Macaca mulatta: one gene and its partners. The protein of the gene in region 1 interacts with the protein of each later gene in a pairwise test. Links are inferred from orthologs where the notes say so. Each region holds a gene or a part of one and is shown in the gene's direction. Other genes may lie near its edges.

Region 1 (4,745 bases):
CCTCGCCGCCTCCCTCCTCCCGCTCGGGTCGGGTCGCCCCCTCCCTCCCCAGCCCCCAACCATCTTGTCCCCAGTCCTGTCTCCTCCGCGCCGCACAGCGCCCAACACTGTGCAGGGAGGCAAATAGAGATCCAGTGACTTTGGCCAGAGCACAGACCCATGGATTTCCCAATCCAGGAATCTCTCCCACTCTTTCCCACAACGCTCCCCACTCCACCTTTTTTTCTTGAAGCCTAAGTTTTCTCTTTTTGTGTGTATTTATCTCTTTTTGTCTTTCCAAAGTAACACCTATCCTTTCCCTCCCCTAGCCCCCACACCTAAAGCTGCGCCTACCACTGCAGCCCAGGGAAGCTACGCGATCCGGACTGTTGGGGTCAGCAGAACCCCAGAAGACCGGTGCCCCGGGAAAAGGCGCTGGCAGTAATTGTCAGGTTCTCGCCCCCGGGGAAGGGAGGCAGCGGGAACCTGTCCAGCGACCACGTGCGTTCAGGGCTGTCTCCTCCCTGCGTCACGGCTCCCTCTCTGGAGGGAAAGGGCTCCTGACTTCTTGGACCAGGATCCGGCGCCTGGGACTAGCCGCCGCGCTGGTTCAGGGGCTGGAGCTGGAAATGATGGGATGGCCTCAGGTCCCCAAACAGCCCCTCCTCACACAGGGTCCCCAACACCGGGAAATAAGTCGCATCAGCCCTCCTTTCCCCACCTCCCGTGGGCTCTGATGTCACGTACAGGCTGAGGACCGCGCGCTGAGGGCGGGTGTAAGGCCACTTGTGCTTTTGGGGTCTGGGCCGCTTGCCAGCCTGTCCAAAGCTGCCCCAAAGAAGGGAGTCGCGGGGTTCCCTGAACCTCTCGTGTTTCTTCTTATAAAGGGGTACCGGAAGCATGGAGAAGACGTTCGCTCTTTTTCAATTTTGCTTCAAAATGAACAGACTTGTAAGAAGCGCGATCTGGCCATGACACCTGTAGATGTGGTGCTGAATAATTGCTAAATAAGGATCCAACCTCCCCAACAAAGATCCACCTCCCTCTCTAATTTGTAAAAACACAGAGCACCCCATCTCAGCAGCCTGTATCCTATCAGGGGAAACCAGGATATCCGAAGGAGCCTAGAGAGATCAGGCCAGGAATGAAGGTCACAGATCTCCATCCAGCAGGCTCTTTACTCCTTCTCTTCCCTACCTCCGCCTCTTTCCCTTTCTTTCTGTCCTTCATTTCCACTTGTCTGGTTTTTCTTTCCTTTTTCATTTCTTATTTTTTCTTTCTCTTCTCTATTCTTGACTTTCCTCCTTGTCCATTCTTTTCCATTGCTCATTTAGTAAAACTGCGTCCGTGCAGATTTCCCCATGAGTCGCCTCGCCGGCTTCTCTGCCCGGCGAACCCTGCGGAGAGGCGAGGGCAGCGCGTGTGCACGTGTGAGTGTGCCTGTGAGAGTGTGCGCATCGGAGTGTGCTCGTGTATGCACGCTTAAAGGGGACTATGTATGTTGGCGTGGAAGTGTGACTGTGGAATGTGCGCGCGTGTGTGACTGGCGTGTATGAGTGAATCTGTGAATCTGTGTCAGTTGGTGTGACACTTAGGAGTGCATGCGGCTGTATGAGTGCGTGTGTGAGTGTGCACACGCCTGTGGGGTGTCCATGTGTGAGTGCGCGTGTGTTCGAGTGCCCACTCCTCCCCGCGCTGCAAAGTGCAGGGGGCGGGCCGGGCGGCAGGGGGCCTGCCCGCTGGATTCCCGCATGCTTGTTCCGGGGCGGTCGGGTCTAAAGGGCTTTATGCACTGTCTGGAGGGTGGGGACTGGCGCGGGTAGAAAACGGGATGCCTCGGGCGCGGGTGCAGGCTTTTGGTCACTAGGAGCTGGCGGAGGTGCAGACCTAAAGGAGCGTTCGCTAGCAGAGGCGCTGCCGGTGTGGTGTGCTACGCGCACCCACCTCCCGGGGAAGGAACGGCGAGGCCGGGGACCGTCGCGGGGATGGATCGCGGGCCGGCAGCAGTGGCGTGCACGCTGCTCCTGGCTCTCGTCGCCTGCTTAGCGCCGGCCAGTGGCCAAGGTAAGCCCCCGGCCGGAGCTTCTCGTGAAGCGCCCACTTCCCCGGCTGTGGCAGGGTCGGGTCCGCGGGAGGCCGGAGGGGAGCGCGGCCGGGCAGAGGCTAGGGCCTGGCGGCGGCGCGGGAGCTGCTCCCGGTGGGGCGCTCAGGTTGCTTCGCGAACCCGGAGCGGGAGCGCCCCTCCTTCGCTCACCACGAACTGAGCGGCAGCAAACTTGAGAAAGCAGCCCCGCCAGTTTCGGTGACAGCGCACCCCACGGAGACCCTGTCTTTGTTCCCACGGGCGTTTGTCCGACCCTCCTGGAAAGCACTTTACAGGAGAACGAGGTTCTCTGCGGTTTGCAGCTTGCTCTCCCAAGCGGAGTTCTCTCCTGGGCGGCGCGGTCCCGGGCTCTGCTCCGAGCGCAGCATTCCACCTGCAGCGCCCCTCCCGGGATCCCTTCGCGCGCCCAGGGCCGCGGGCCAGAGCACCCCTCCCACCACTGGTGAAACTTGGTCCCGCGGTGACCCCCAGAGACCGCTCTCACCGTACAGATCATTTACGAGCCAAGATAAGGCCGGGAGGTGGGATTGGCTGAGAGCGGCTGAGGGACTGGAGTCTTTTCTTGAAGTTTTCCTTTCCAGCTGGGAGCTGGGGGCTTTTGTGTTGATGAATGGGGCCCGTCTGCATGGCCAGAGTTTTGGGGATCGAATGCAGATAGTTTTTGGTATGAAGCGCTTTAAACTTCTCTCAAGTTGTCCGAGAGTTTATGTTTTAACAGAAACAGAGAAGAGAGAAAGAGAGGGAGAAAGAAACGGAGAGAATAAAAGTAGTAAGAAGGGAAGAGGAAAAGCAAATATAGAGGAATAAGGAAAGAAGGAGGGGAGAGAGAACGACTGGGGCGGGGGAAGAGAGAGAGAGAGGAAAGAGAGAGAGAGAGAGAGAGAGAGAGAGAGAGAGAGAGAGAGACCGAGACCCGACCGAGGATGAATGGGAAGGGCGAGGAGGAGGCTGGAACCGGCGAGCTCTCCCCCTGGCTTTGCGTTGCTAGGTAGCAGCCAGGAGCTGCGTGTGACCGACCACCAGACAGACAGAGGGGACGCTGCTGCCACCGCGGGGACTAATCTGTCTGTGGGGATGGGAGAGTCCCCCCTTTCCCCTCCTGCTCCTTCCCTCCCGTCGGACAACTTAATTGCCCTACAATGAAAATGAAACCCCTATTGTTGTAGGATTAGCCAAAGCAATAAATTGATTTTCCTGGATCACATATTGGGGTTGACGGGTGGGGAATGTGGAAGCCCCCATTTACGGAGGAGTGAGGGGAGGGCTTGTGGATGGGCCGTGGCATGTATTCAAATGGTTAATCTGCTTTCTTTCCTCAATTCTTAGCGTAAGCTCCTTAGAGGGAATCAAGTAAGTAATTATACAGCAACTCCTAGCAGCACCCATTTCAGACTTCCTGGGAAGAAGTTTGGAAACGCTAACAAACCCCACGGGTCTTGCAAAAGTCTTCGGAAAGGCAGGAGAGGCAGGGAGAGATCATTAATAATCTTCCTTTGAACACCCTTTCTCAGTGTTGGTAACACAGAAAGAGGGTTTTATTACTATTGTGCAGAGTTTGCACAATGCTTAGGGTTATATCTCATGTCCTAAATATAGTTATAGGATTTACTATATGGTCCTGTCAGTGCCTGGCAAAAGGAAATCTTACCTTGATTCATCTATGCCCTTGTACAACCAAAAAAGATATTCTTTTTCCTGGGTTGATGGTTTAGTCACTAAATAACCAACACCTACTCTTCTTGATAGTTTTTTGCACCCGTCCATCTTCCATTCTATGATAATAATATATAATAATAATGTGTATAGTAATAGTAATCCATCATACACATATATGTTGCAGGCTTTGTTCTAAGCACTTTATACTTATTGACTCAGTTAATCTTCATAATATCCCTTGGAAGTAAGTACTCTTATTATCACTGTTTTACAGATGAGAAAGTGGAGGCACAGAGCAATTCAGTAATTTGTCTCAGTTCATACTGCTAGAAAATGGCGAACTAAAGGGATTCTGAATTCAGAGTCTGTAATTGCTACAGTACACAGTATATGTTCTCTCTCTCTCTGTCTCTCTCTCTTTTTTTTTTTTTTTTTTTTCTGAGAGACCGAGTCTCGCTTTGTCACCCAGGCTGGAGTGCAGTGTGCAATCTCGGCTCACTGCAACCTCTGCCTCCCGGGTTCAAGCGATCCTCACACCTCAGCCTCCCAAGTAGCTGGGACTACAAGCCCTGGGGAGTATGCCCGGCTAATATTTTGTATTTTTAGTAGAGACAGGGTTTTGCTATGTTGGCCAGGCTGGTCTTGAACTCCTGACCTCAAGTGATCTGCCCGCCTCGGCCTCCCAGAGTGCTAGGATTACGGACGTGAGTCACCGCGCCTGGCCCAATTTCTTTTTTCTTTTGTACAAAAAATGTCATGCTCCCTAAGTTACTGTCCATGTGTGAGGTTCCTAAAGAAACTGAGGGGCAATATGCAACTCCTTACCACCTGCTGCTTCATAACTGTGGATCTTTTTCCAGAATCTCTCCTCAGGTTTCTAAGAACTGAACCCAAGTTTTCTCATTCCCAGTCCTCCTACTTGATCATTTTAAGATGCATTTCCTCTGAATGTCCTCAGCCTGATATGTTGAGATTTCTAGAATCCTGTTGTAATGATCCTGACTTA
Region 2 (4,909 bases), on another chromosome or scaffold:
CCCTGCACAAGCCCATCCAGGGGGTGAGATCAGTGGTAGCGTGAGGGAGTTGACTGGCCCCAGAGAGGCTTTGTCTTGGTTTCTGTGTCACCAAGCTGAGAGTGGCGGGTGCAGGCAGCTGGGAGTTGGGAGAGAGCCCCTGCCTTCATGACCTGCCTGCTCTCCAGGGGAGCAGACGCCGCCACATGAACACATCTGCCTGAGCGATGAGCTGCCCCCCCAGAGCAGCCCCGCCCCCACCACAGACCGGGGCACCTCCACCGACAGCCCTTGCCGCCGCAGCACAGCCACCCAGATGGCACCTCCGGGGGGTCCCCCTGCTGCCCCGCCTGGGGGTCGGGGCCACTCGCATCGAGACCGAATCCACTACCAGGCCGATGTGCGACTAGAGGCCACTGAGGAGATCTACCTGACCCCAGTGCAGAGGCCCCCAGACCCTGCAGAGCCCACCTCCGCCTTCCTGCCTCCCACTGAGAGCCGGATGTCGGTCAGCTCCGATCCAGACCCTGCTGCCTACCCCTCCACGGCAGGGCGGCCACACCCCTCCATCAGTGAAGAGGAGGAGGGCTTCGACTGCCTGTCGTCCCCAGAGCGGGCTGAGCCCCCAGGCGGAGGGTGGCGGGGGAGCCTGGGGGAGCCGCCGCCACCTCCACGGGCGTCTCTGAGCTCGGACACCAGCGCCCTGTCCTACGACTCGGTCAAGTACACGCTGGTGGTGGATGAGCACGCACAGCTGGAGCTGGTGAGCCTGCGGCCGTGCTTCGGAGACTACAGTGACGAGAGTGACTCGGCCACCGTCTATGACAACTGTGCCTCTGTCTCCTCGCCCTATGAGTCGGCCATCGGAGAGGAATATGAGGAGGCCCCCCGGCCCCAGCCCCCTGCCTGCCTCTCCGAGGATTCCACGCCTGACGAACCCGACGTCCATTTCTCCAAGAAGTTCCTGAACGTCTTCATGAGTGGCCGCTCCCGCTCCTCCAGTGAGTCAGCAAGGGGAAGCAGTTGGGGGGTGGGGGTTCCCTAGCGGGACAGAGCCAAAATGCGAAGTGTTCTGGGAGGCGACCCCAGGCCCCATCTGGTTAGGACTGAGGCTTCTACCTGCCCCGCTAAACCTGGATCAGAGCTGCGACCTCCCATCCAGCCATACCCCCTCACCTGCAGGTGCCGAGTCCTTCGGGCTGTTCTCCTGCATCATCAATGGGGAGGAGCAGGAGCAGACCCACCGGGCCATATTCAGGTGAGAGCCATGGGCTGGCTGGGCCTGGCCACGCAGCAGTTTGGGCCACACACCACCCTCCATTTGTCACCCCTACATGGCCTCAGCCTAACCCCTGCCATCAGCATTCGTTGATCCACTCAGCCCTGGGAGGACAGTGTCCACTCTCTAGGGACTCAGAGTATGGTGACAAAGAGGATGGCTACGGTGAGGGATCCCAGGACTGCGCACCTAGTCTGGTCGGGGGCAGGGCACCCAGGAGGGTGACCAAGAGGATGCCTGCCCACACCCCACCTGACCCTTCTCTAGACAAAAGCCTGCGCTTCCCACAGCCTCTCCATTTTAGAGGGTCCCTGCCCGCACCCTCCCTTGGCCTGTGTTTCCTCAACGGCAGACGCATGTTTGCTTGACCTTGCTCTCCCCTGGGGTTAGCACTGCCACAGGCACACAGGATGCTTTTGCAAATGTTTACTGAAATGACGATGCTGCTGTGGCTCCCAGACTGCAGAGTAGGCCTGGCCGGACAGGCCCTGGTGCCGAATTTCTCACCTGTCCTTGCTGGGGACAGGTTTGTGCCTCGACACGAAGACGAACTTGAGCTGGAAGTGGATGACCCTCTGCTAGTGGAGCTCCAGGCTGAAGACTACTGGTACGAGGCCTACAACATGCGCACCGGTGCCCGGGGCGTCTTTCCTGCCTATTACGCCATCGAGGTCACCAAGGAGCCCGAGCACATGGCAGGTAGCGTTCCCTGCCTGGCCTGTGCCCCCAGCCACCACATCTGTCTGCCCTGACTTGCTGCTGGGTGAACGTGTACTCCAGATCTTAGCCAGACAGGTGGGGGGCTGAGTGGAGGTGATTTTAGGTCCTTTTCACGATCGAGCAAAGTGAGGCCCGGCCAAGTTGGGCAGCCAGGGATTGTGGCAGCCTGTGTGGGCTCTGCCATTCCCTGTGCCTTACCCGCCCTCCTTCGCTTGGCTGCTCAGCTCCCTCCTGCTGTTTCTGCCCCTCCTCAATTCACACTTGCTTTCCAGCCCTGGCCAAAAACAGTGACTGGGTGGACCAGTTCCGGGTGAAGTTCCTGGGCTCAGTCCAGGTTCCCTATCACAAGGGCAATGACGTCCTCTGTGCCGCTATGCAAAAGGTACCTGAGCCCTCTCCCTTCTCCTCCCTTGGATGCTCCCTGGGGCAGAGGAATACAGGTGTCTAGAGGCAGTAAAGGCCTCAGGGCTCAGGCCCTGGGACAGGAGGGATCAGCAGAGGAACAGACAGCAGCTGACGTGGCTCCGTGTGTCACCTATAGATTGCCACCACCCGCCGGCTCACCGTGCACTTTAACCCACCCTCCAGCTGCGTCCTGGAGATCAGCGTGCGGGGCGTGAAGATAGGCGTCAAGGCCGATGACTCCCAGGAGGCCAAGGTGACTCCTCCCAACCCAGCCCCTTCCTTCCATGGCCCCCAGCTTTCCCCCAAGACTTGGAGTGAAGAGGCCGTCTCCTCTCACCCTCATTGCAGGCCAGGTGACCGCCCTCTTGCTTCTTTTCTCCCTCCTGTAGGGGAATAAATGTAGCCACTTTTTCCAGTTAAAAAACATCTCTTTCTGTGGATATCATCCAAAGAACAACAAGTAAGTGGGGGTGGGATGGCAGTGGAGGAGGCACGGCTGGTCTGCAGCCTTCAGGTGGTTGGGTGTGGGCCGAGCCCCTGTCCCAGCACAGACAGACCTGTCCCTGCAGGTACTTTGGGTTCATCACCAAGCACCCCGCCGACCACCGGTTTGCCTGCCATGTCTTTGTGTCTGAAGACTCCACCAAAGCCCTGGCAGAGTCCGTGGGGTACGTGTGCATCCTGCTGAGCACCCAGCCCGAGGGAGCACACCTCATCCCAGGCCCTAGGGCTGCTTCCTGGTGCTCAGCTTTGCCCCTTGGTTTCCCCCGCAGCTCTGGAGAACCATCTCCAGACCCCAGTGCAGTGGCCTGGAGGGAGGGTGGCAGGGCAGGGCGAGCCTGAGGAGTGGCTTCCAGGCTTGGTAGCTGCTGAGCCACGTCTTCAGCTGACATCTTACTGGGAAATGCAATGGCAATTCTGTAGAGAACAGAGCCAAGTGGCCCCGGCCAGAGGAACCAGAGCTGCATTCAGGCCCCAAGGCTCCGGTGGGAAAACCCTGGGTCGTGATCCCATTCCTCCCTTGCCAGTGGCGGTCTGAGCCATCTGTGTGTCCCCTGGCTTCTAGGAGAGCATTCCAGCAGTTCTACAAGCAGTTTGTGGAGTACACCTGCCCCACAGAAGATATCTACCTGGAGTAGCCGTGCAGCCCCGCCCTCTGCATCCCCCGGCCCTCAGGCCAGTGCCAGGACAGCTGGCTGCTGACAGGATGTGGCACTGCTTGAGGAGGGGCACCTGCTACCACCAGGGGATGAGGAAGTGGGGGCTGCTGGCCCAGGGTAGGGGAGGGTGGGGCAATGGGGAGAAGCAAATGCGGTTTATTGTAATATATGGGATTAGATTCATCTATGGAGGGCAGAGTGGGCTGCCTGGGGATTGGGAGGGGCAGGGCTTGGGGGGCAGGCCTCTGGCAGAGAAGGATGTCCATTCCAGGAGCACATGGCCCTGCCCCATCCTGGGCCTTACCTCCCCTGCCAGGGCTCGGGCGCTCTGGCTCCTGCCTTGATGAAGCCCGTGTCCTGCCTTGATGAAGCCTGTGCCACCTGCAAGTGCCCACCCTGCCCCTGCCCCAACCCCCACCGAAAAGCCGTGAGCTCAGGCTGAGCCCAGCCACCTCCCAAGGACTTTCCAGTGAGGAAATGGCAACACGTGGAGGTGAAGACCCCGTTCTCAGCTCCGTCATTTGCGGGACTTTGGGTGGCTCCTGCCACTGACCTCACCGGCATGCTGGCCTGTGGCAGGCCTAGGACCTCAGTGGGGAGGAGGAGCTGCCGCAAGGCCCTGTCCCAGCAGGAGGGAGGCTTCCTGACTGACACAGGCCAGCCCCATCTTGGTCCTGTCACCCTGGCCCCAACTATTAAAGTGCCATTTCCTGTCTGGACTGCAGTGGATGTATCTGTATGGACTCCTCCTGTCCCCATCTCACTCCCAGCCCAGGAAAGCCAAGCCTTTGTCATGTGTAGTATCTTTATGGGGGCCTTGGGTCATAGGTGTGCGTCGTAGTAATACTCAGCAAGGTCGGGCCCATCCCGCTTGCGCTGCTGGGCCCGGGACAGGCGGGGTCGAGGCCCTCGCGGCCACGGGTGCTTGGGGAGGATGCCATAGTCTAGAGAGAGAAAGGAGGGCATGGGTGGGAGGGGCAGCTGGCACCCTTGAACATATGTGGTTTGGGATGACAAGCCCCTGAAGGCTGGACTTGGGGCACCCCTTAGGGGAGTCTCCACTGTCAGGGAGGGGCAGGGGAAGGGGAAGGGGAAGGGGACGAGAGAGATACTACCATCCACCAGGCCGGAGAGTGGCTGTGAGAGTTCCAGGGGTGCGGAAAATGCCTCAGGAACAGACTGCTGAGACCTGTGGGAGAGGTTGGGGTGCTCGGCCCTGGCCCAGAAAGCCACCGCCACCTCCTTGTGAATGGGGGGATGGCCCAGTGTGGGGGCACTTGGCAAGCCCTCCAACACCCAGGGTACCAGGGCCAGCCAGCCCCACTCCAGAGAGGGGAGGGGCAGCACCTCTGCCATCCAGCCCGAG
Region 3 (4,119 bases), on another chromosome or scaffold:
CTCAGGACGGCCATCATGTATCTCCACCCCAGGACTCCCTGAACAACAACGGAGGCTTTGACCTGGTGCCTCCGGCCTCCTGGCAAGAGACAGCGCTGTGCTCACCCGCCCCGGAGGCCCTCAGAGGTGAGGGGTGGTGGGCCCGCGGGCCACGGTGAAGTGGGGGGGGGGGAGGGGAGGGAGGATGGGCTGGTTGCTGAAAGAGGCCTGGATGGTGCAGAGAGGGTGACCCCCACCTCCCTGCCCAGCAGAGCCCCCGGGCCCCCTCCCTCCCACGGACACAGGGCCCGGCGGGACGCAGTCGCCAGTGCGCCCGGGTTGCGACTGCGAAGGGAACCGGCCTGCGGAACCCCCGGCGCCAGGGGGGACTTCGCCCTCCTCAGATCCCGGCATCGAGGCTGACCTGAGAAGCCGCTCGAGCGGGGGCCACGGGGGACGTCGCAGCAGCCAGGAGCTGTCCTCGCCCGGCTCCGACTCAGAGGACGCGGGCGGCGCGCGCCTAGGGCGCATGATCTCGTCCATCTCGGAGACGGAGCTGGAGCTGAGCAGCGACGGCGGAAGCAGCAGCAGCGGCCGCTCCTCGCACCTCACCAACTCCATCGAGGAGGCCTCGTCGCCCGCCTCGGAGCCGGAGCCCCCGCGCGAACCCCCGCGCCGCCCCGCCTTCCTGCCCGTGGGTCCCGACGACACCAACAGCGAGTACGAGTCGGGGTCGGAGTCGGAGCCGGACCTCAGCGAGGACGCGGACTCGCCCTGGCTGCTCAGCAACCTGGTGAGCCGCATGATCTCCGAGGGCTCCTCGCCCATCCGCTGCCCCGGCCAGTGCCTGTCTCCGGCGCCGCGCCCGCCCGGGGAGCCCGTGTCGCCGGCCGGCGGGGCTGCCCAGGACTCCCAGGACCCCGAGGCGGCCGCGGGGCCCGGCGACGTGGAGCTGGTGGACATGGAGACGCTGTGCGCGCCGCCGCCGCCTGCGCCCGCCGCGCCTCGACCCGGCCCCGCGCAGCCCGGGCCCTGCCTGTTCCTCAGCAACCCCACGCGTGACACCATCACGCCGCTGTGGGCCGCGCCCGGCCGCGCTGCCCGCCCGGGCCGAGCCTGCTCCGCCGCCTGCTCTGAGGAGGAGGACGAAGAGGACGACGAGGAAGAGGAGGATGCCGAGGACAGTGCGGGGCCCCCCGGGGGCAGGGGCACGGACCCCTCGGCGCCGCGGGACGCCTCGCTGGTGTATGACGCGGTCAAGTACACGCTGGTGGTGGACGAGCATACGCAGCTGGAGCTGGTGAGCCTGCGGCGCTGCGCCGGGCTGGGCCACGACAGCGAAGAGGACAGCAGCGGGGAGGCCAGCGAGGAGGAGGTGGGCGCAGCGCTGCTAGGCGGTGGTCAGGTCCCGGGGGACACCTCGCCGGACAGCCCTGACCTCACTTTCTCCAAGAAGTTCCTCAATGTCTTCGTCAACAGCACATCCCGGTCCTCCAGTGAGTGACAGGCAGGGAAAAGGGGGGTGACCCAGAGGAACATGCGGAGTCCCTGGCCCCAGTCCCAGGCTCCCCCACAGTGCCCGGGGCCACCTGAGGGTCTGGCCATGGTCAGGGCTGGGCGCCCTCTCCCATCCAGGACATGGCATGAGGTGGCCTGCTCTGCCTCAGCCCCTTCCTGCTCCCAGGACACCCACACCGGCCTGCAGAGGGGACTCCACCTCTGCCCGAGGCCAGGCCTCTAAACATTCTTTCCCCTACTCTGCCTCTCTGTCTCCCTGTCTTCCCCACCTCTGTCCCATCTGGTCTCCCAGGCACCGAGTCCTTTGGCCTTTTCTCCTGTCTGGTCAACGGTGAGGAGCGAGAGCAGACCCACAGGGCTGTGTTCAGGTACAGCCTCCCTCCTTGCTGGCGGTGGCCCCAGCCTCAGTCCGTGCCATCCCAGGACGCCAATGGACACGACCCTCAATCCCGCCCCCCTCCCCAGTGACCTCTCCCCCAACGGCAGGTTCATCCCGCGGCATCCAGACGAACTGGAGCTGGACGTGGATGACCCCGTGTTGGTGGAGGCCGAGGAGGATGACTTCTGGTTCCGTGGCTTCAACATGCGTACGGGGGAGCGCGGTGTGTTCCCTGCCTTCTACGCCCATGCGGTTCCCGGCCCTGCCAAGGACCTGCTGGGTGAGGTCCCAACCCCGAGGGGTGGCGTGTCACCCCAGATCCTCCCCTAGGCCCCTGCCTGACCTGGGCCCTCTGTGCCCCCCTCCCCAGGGAGCAAGCGGAGTCCCTGCTGGGTGGAGCGCTTTGATGTGCAGTTCCTGGGCTCTGTGGAGGTGCCCTGCCACCAGGGCAATGGCATCCTATGTGCAGCCATGCAGAAGGTCAGTGTGGAGGCCGGGCAAGTGCAAGCTGAGGGTTCGCATGGTGGCCCCACCAGCACTGCAGGCTGGCACAGGGCCTTGAGGCTCCAAGGCGTCTGATTTCCTCCAGGGAGGGTGTGGGGGATGCTGCAGGGGTAGCTCTGGATGGGTACCCCAGGCCCTGGTTCAGAGGCCTGAGCAGGTGAGTCTAGGGCAGAGCTCAGCAGCTGTCCCTCATTACTTCTGGGTCTCTGGGCCACAGATCTTCCAGTTGGCCCCGAGTGCCATCAGCCCTTCCTCTTCCTGTCTGGAATCAAGACCAGCCCTCACAGCCCCTTCCCTGGGAGCCCTCTACTCATCCACTCACTCAGTGGACGTTTAGTGCGCGCCTGCCCATGCACCAGTACTGAGACTGAGGCTGGGGGGTGGTAGGGAGCAGGGCAGAGCAGCCCTGCCTCTGAGAGCTCCCTGGAGCTTGTAGGGCCAGGCAGTGAAGAGGCCAGGGTGGGTGGGGTCTGTGTTCCTGGCTCCTGAGCCCAGAGCAGCACCCTGCCTGGAGGAGCAGAAGGAAGATGAAGCACGCTGACTGCTTCCCCTGAGCCTGAGAAGTGGCCAAGGCCACTCCCTTATGTCTTCCAGAATTGCATCTCAGGAGTCCTCAGCATGCATGTCCTCAAACATAAGCTAAAAGGAGCAGAGGCGTATGTAGTCCCACCAAGGGGAAAGAAAGATGCCCTTGTGGGCCCCTCAGGACCCTCTTCTCCCCCAACTTCTTAGATTGCCACTGCCCGGAAACTGACTGTCCACCTGCGCCCTCCTGCCTCCTGTGACCTCGAGATCTCTCTTCGGGGGGTCAAGCTGAGTCTGAGCGGAGGAGGGCCCGAGGTGGGGGCTTGGGGGACTGGGGACAGGGGACGGGGGGGTAGGGTTAAGCCACGGAGTCAGACGGGGCCAGGCTGGCAGGGGTGTCAGGCAGGCGGGAGGCAGGGGTGGCCCCAGGCTTCCTCTAACACGGGGGCTTCTGCCCACCTCTGCTGTAGTTCCAGCGCTGCAGCCATTTCTTCCAGATGAAGAACATCTCCTTCTGCGGCTGCCACCCCCGAAACAGCTGGTAAGATTCCAACCATCCCCGAGTCCCCACAAACCCGCAACTCCCCGAGTCCCCCAACTGCCCCCGAGTTCCCCAACCACCCCACAAACGCTGAGAGTCCAACCACCCCCGGAGTCCCCACAAACCCCGAGGGCTGCCTAACCATCCCCCAAGTCCCCACAGACCCTGAGGGCCGCTCGTGCCCAACCCTGAGAGCTCCACCTGCACCCACTTGGCTCTCTGAGCTGAGTGTGCAGTGACGCCCGCTCTGAGCTGGACTCAGGAGGCGCAGGTCAGACAGGCTTGCATCTGGTCTGGGTGGAGAGAGGCACACGGGCGAAGGATGTGAGAAGCCTGTGTGGGTGTGGAGGATGCCTGAGTGGGCCCTGGGGAGCAGACCCCCAGAGGTGGGCAAGTCCTCCTGGGGCTCAGGATGGCCAGCCTGGAAAGACAGCAGGTGACAGGGGTAGGGAAGTGGATCTTCCTGGTGGGGTCCAGCTGAGCCAAGGGTGTGGGATGCACTGGTCGGGGGCTGTGGGCTCTGGGGCCTGTGTGTAAGGGGAGTAGCTAGAAATGTCGGTGGAGACCTGGACCCTTTTGATTACGCCAAGAAGCTGTACTTAATTCTGCTGGTAATGAGGCCATAGAAGGCTCCTAATGGCAGGAGGTGACACACTCAGGTTTACATGCTGGC

The links.
Region 2: the proteins of LRP2 (region 1) and MAPK8IP1 interact in a two-hybrid assay, tested with the Homo sapiens proteins (2 studies listed by BioGRID). The link is inferred for Macaca mulatta from reciprocal best matches to the Homo sapiens genes LRP2 and MAPK8IP1.
Region 3: the proteins of LRP2 (region 1) and MAPK8IP2 interact in a two-hybrid assay, tested with the Homo sapiens proteins (2 studies listed by BioGRID). The link is inferred for Macaca mulatta from reciprocal best matches to the Homo sapiens genes LRP2 and MAPK8IP2.

Annotation. Positions count from the first base shown.
Region 1 is NC_133417.1:74,276,489-74,281,233, reverse strand, and holds the start of LRP2 (low-density lipoprotein receptor-related protein 2), read left to right. Parts: upstream 1-1,430; 5' UTR 1,431-1,964; coding exon 1,965-2,043; intron 2,044-4,745. UniProt on the Homo sapiens protein: Multiligand endocytic receptor. Acts together with CUBN to mediate endocytosis of high-density lipoproteins. Mediates receptor-mediated uptake of polybasic drugs such as aprotinin, aminoglycosides and polymyxin B.
Region 2 is NC_133419.1:19,710,960-19,715,868, reverse strand, and holds the end of MAPK8IP1 (C-Jun-amino-terminal kinase-interacting protein 1), read left to right. Parts: intron 1-167; coding exon 168-980; intron 981-1,161; coding exon 1,162-1,237; intron 1,238-1,784; coding exon 1,785-1,999; exon of another isoform or gene 2,000-2,021; intron 2,022-2,143; exon of another isoform or gene 2,144-2,202; coding exon 2,203-2,360; intron 2,361-2,519; coding exon 2,520-2,636; intron 2,637-2,772; coding exon 2,773-2,843; exon of another isoform or gene 2,844-2,952; coding exon 2,953-3,051; exon of another isoform or gene 3,052-3,449; coding exon 3,450-3,522; 3' UTR 3,523-4,258; downstream 4,259-4,909. Other genes in the region: FREY1 (protein Frey 1), read right to left, coding at 4,366-4,487, 4,659-4,899. UniProt on the Homo sapiens protein: The JNK-interacting protein (JIP) group of scaffold proteins selectively mediates JNK signaling by aggregating specific components of the MAPK cascade to form a functional JNK signaling module. Required for JNK activation in response to excitotoxic stress.
Region 3 is NC_133415.1:842,949-847,067, reverse strand, and holds part of MAPK8IP2 (C-Jun-amino-terminal kinase-interacting protein 2), read left to right. Parts: intron 1-32; coding exon 33-126; intron 127-248; coding exon 249-1,475; intron 1,476-1,789; coding exon 1,790-1,865; intron 1,866-1,983; coding exon 1,984-2,156; intron 2,157-2,246; coding exon 2,247-2,356; intron 2,357-3,112; coding exon 3,113-3,220; intron 3,221-3,375; coding exon 3,376-3,446; intron 3,447-4,119. UniProt on the Homo sapiens protein: The JNK-interacting protein (JIP) group of scaffold proteins selectively mediates JNK signaling by aggregating specific components of the MAPK cascade to form a functional JNK signaling module.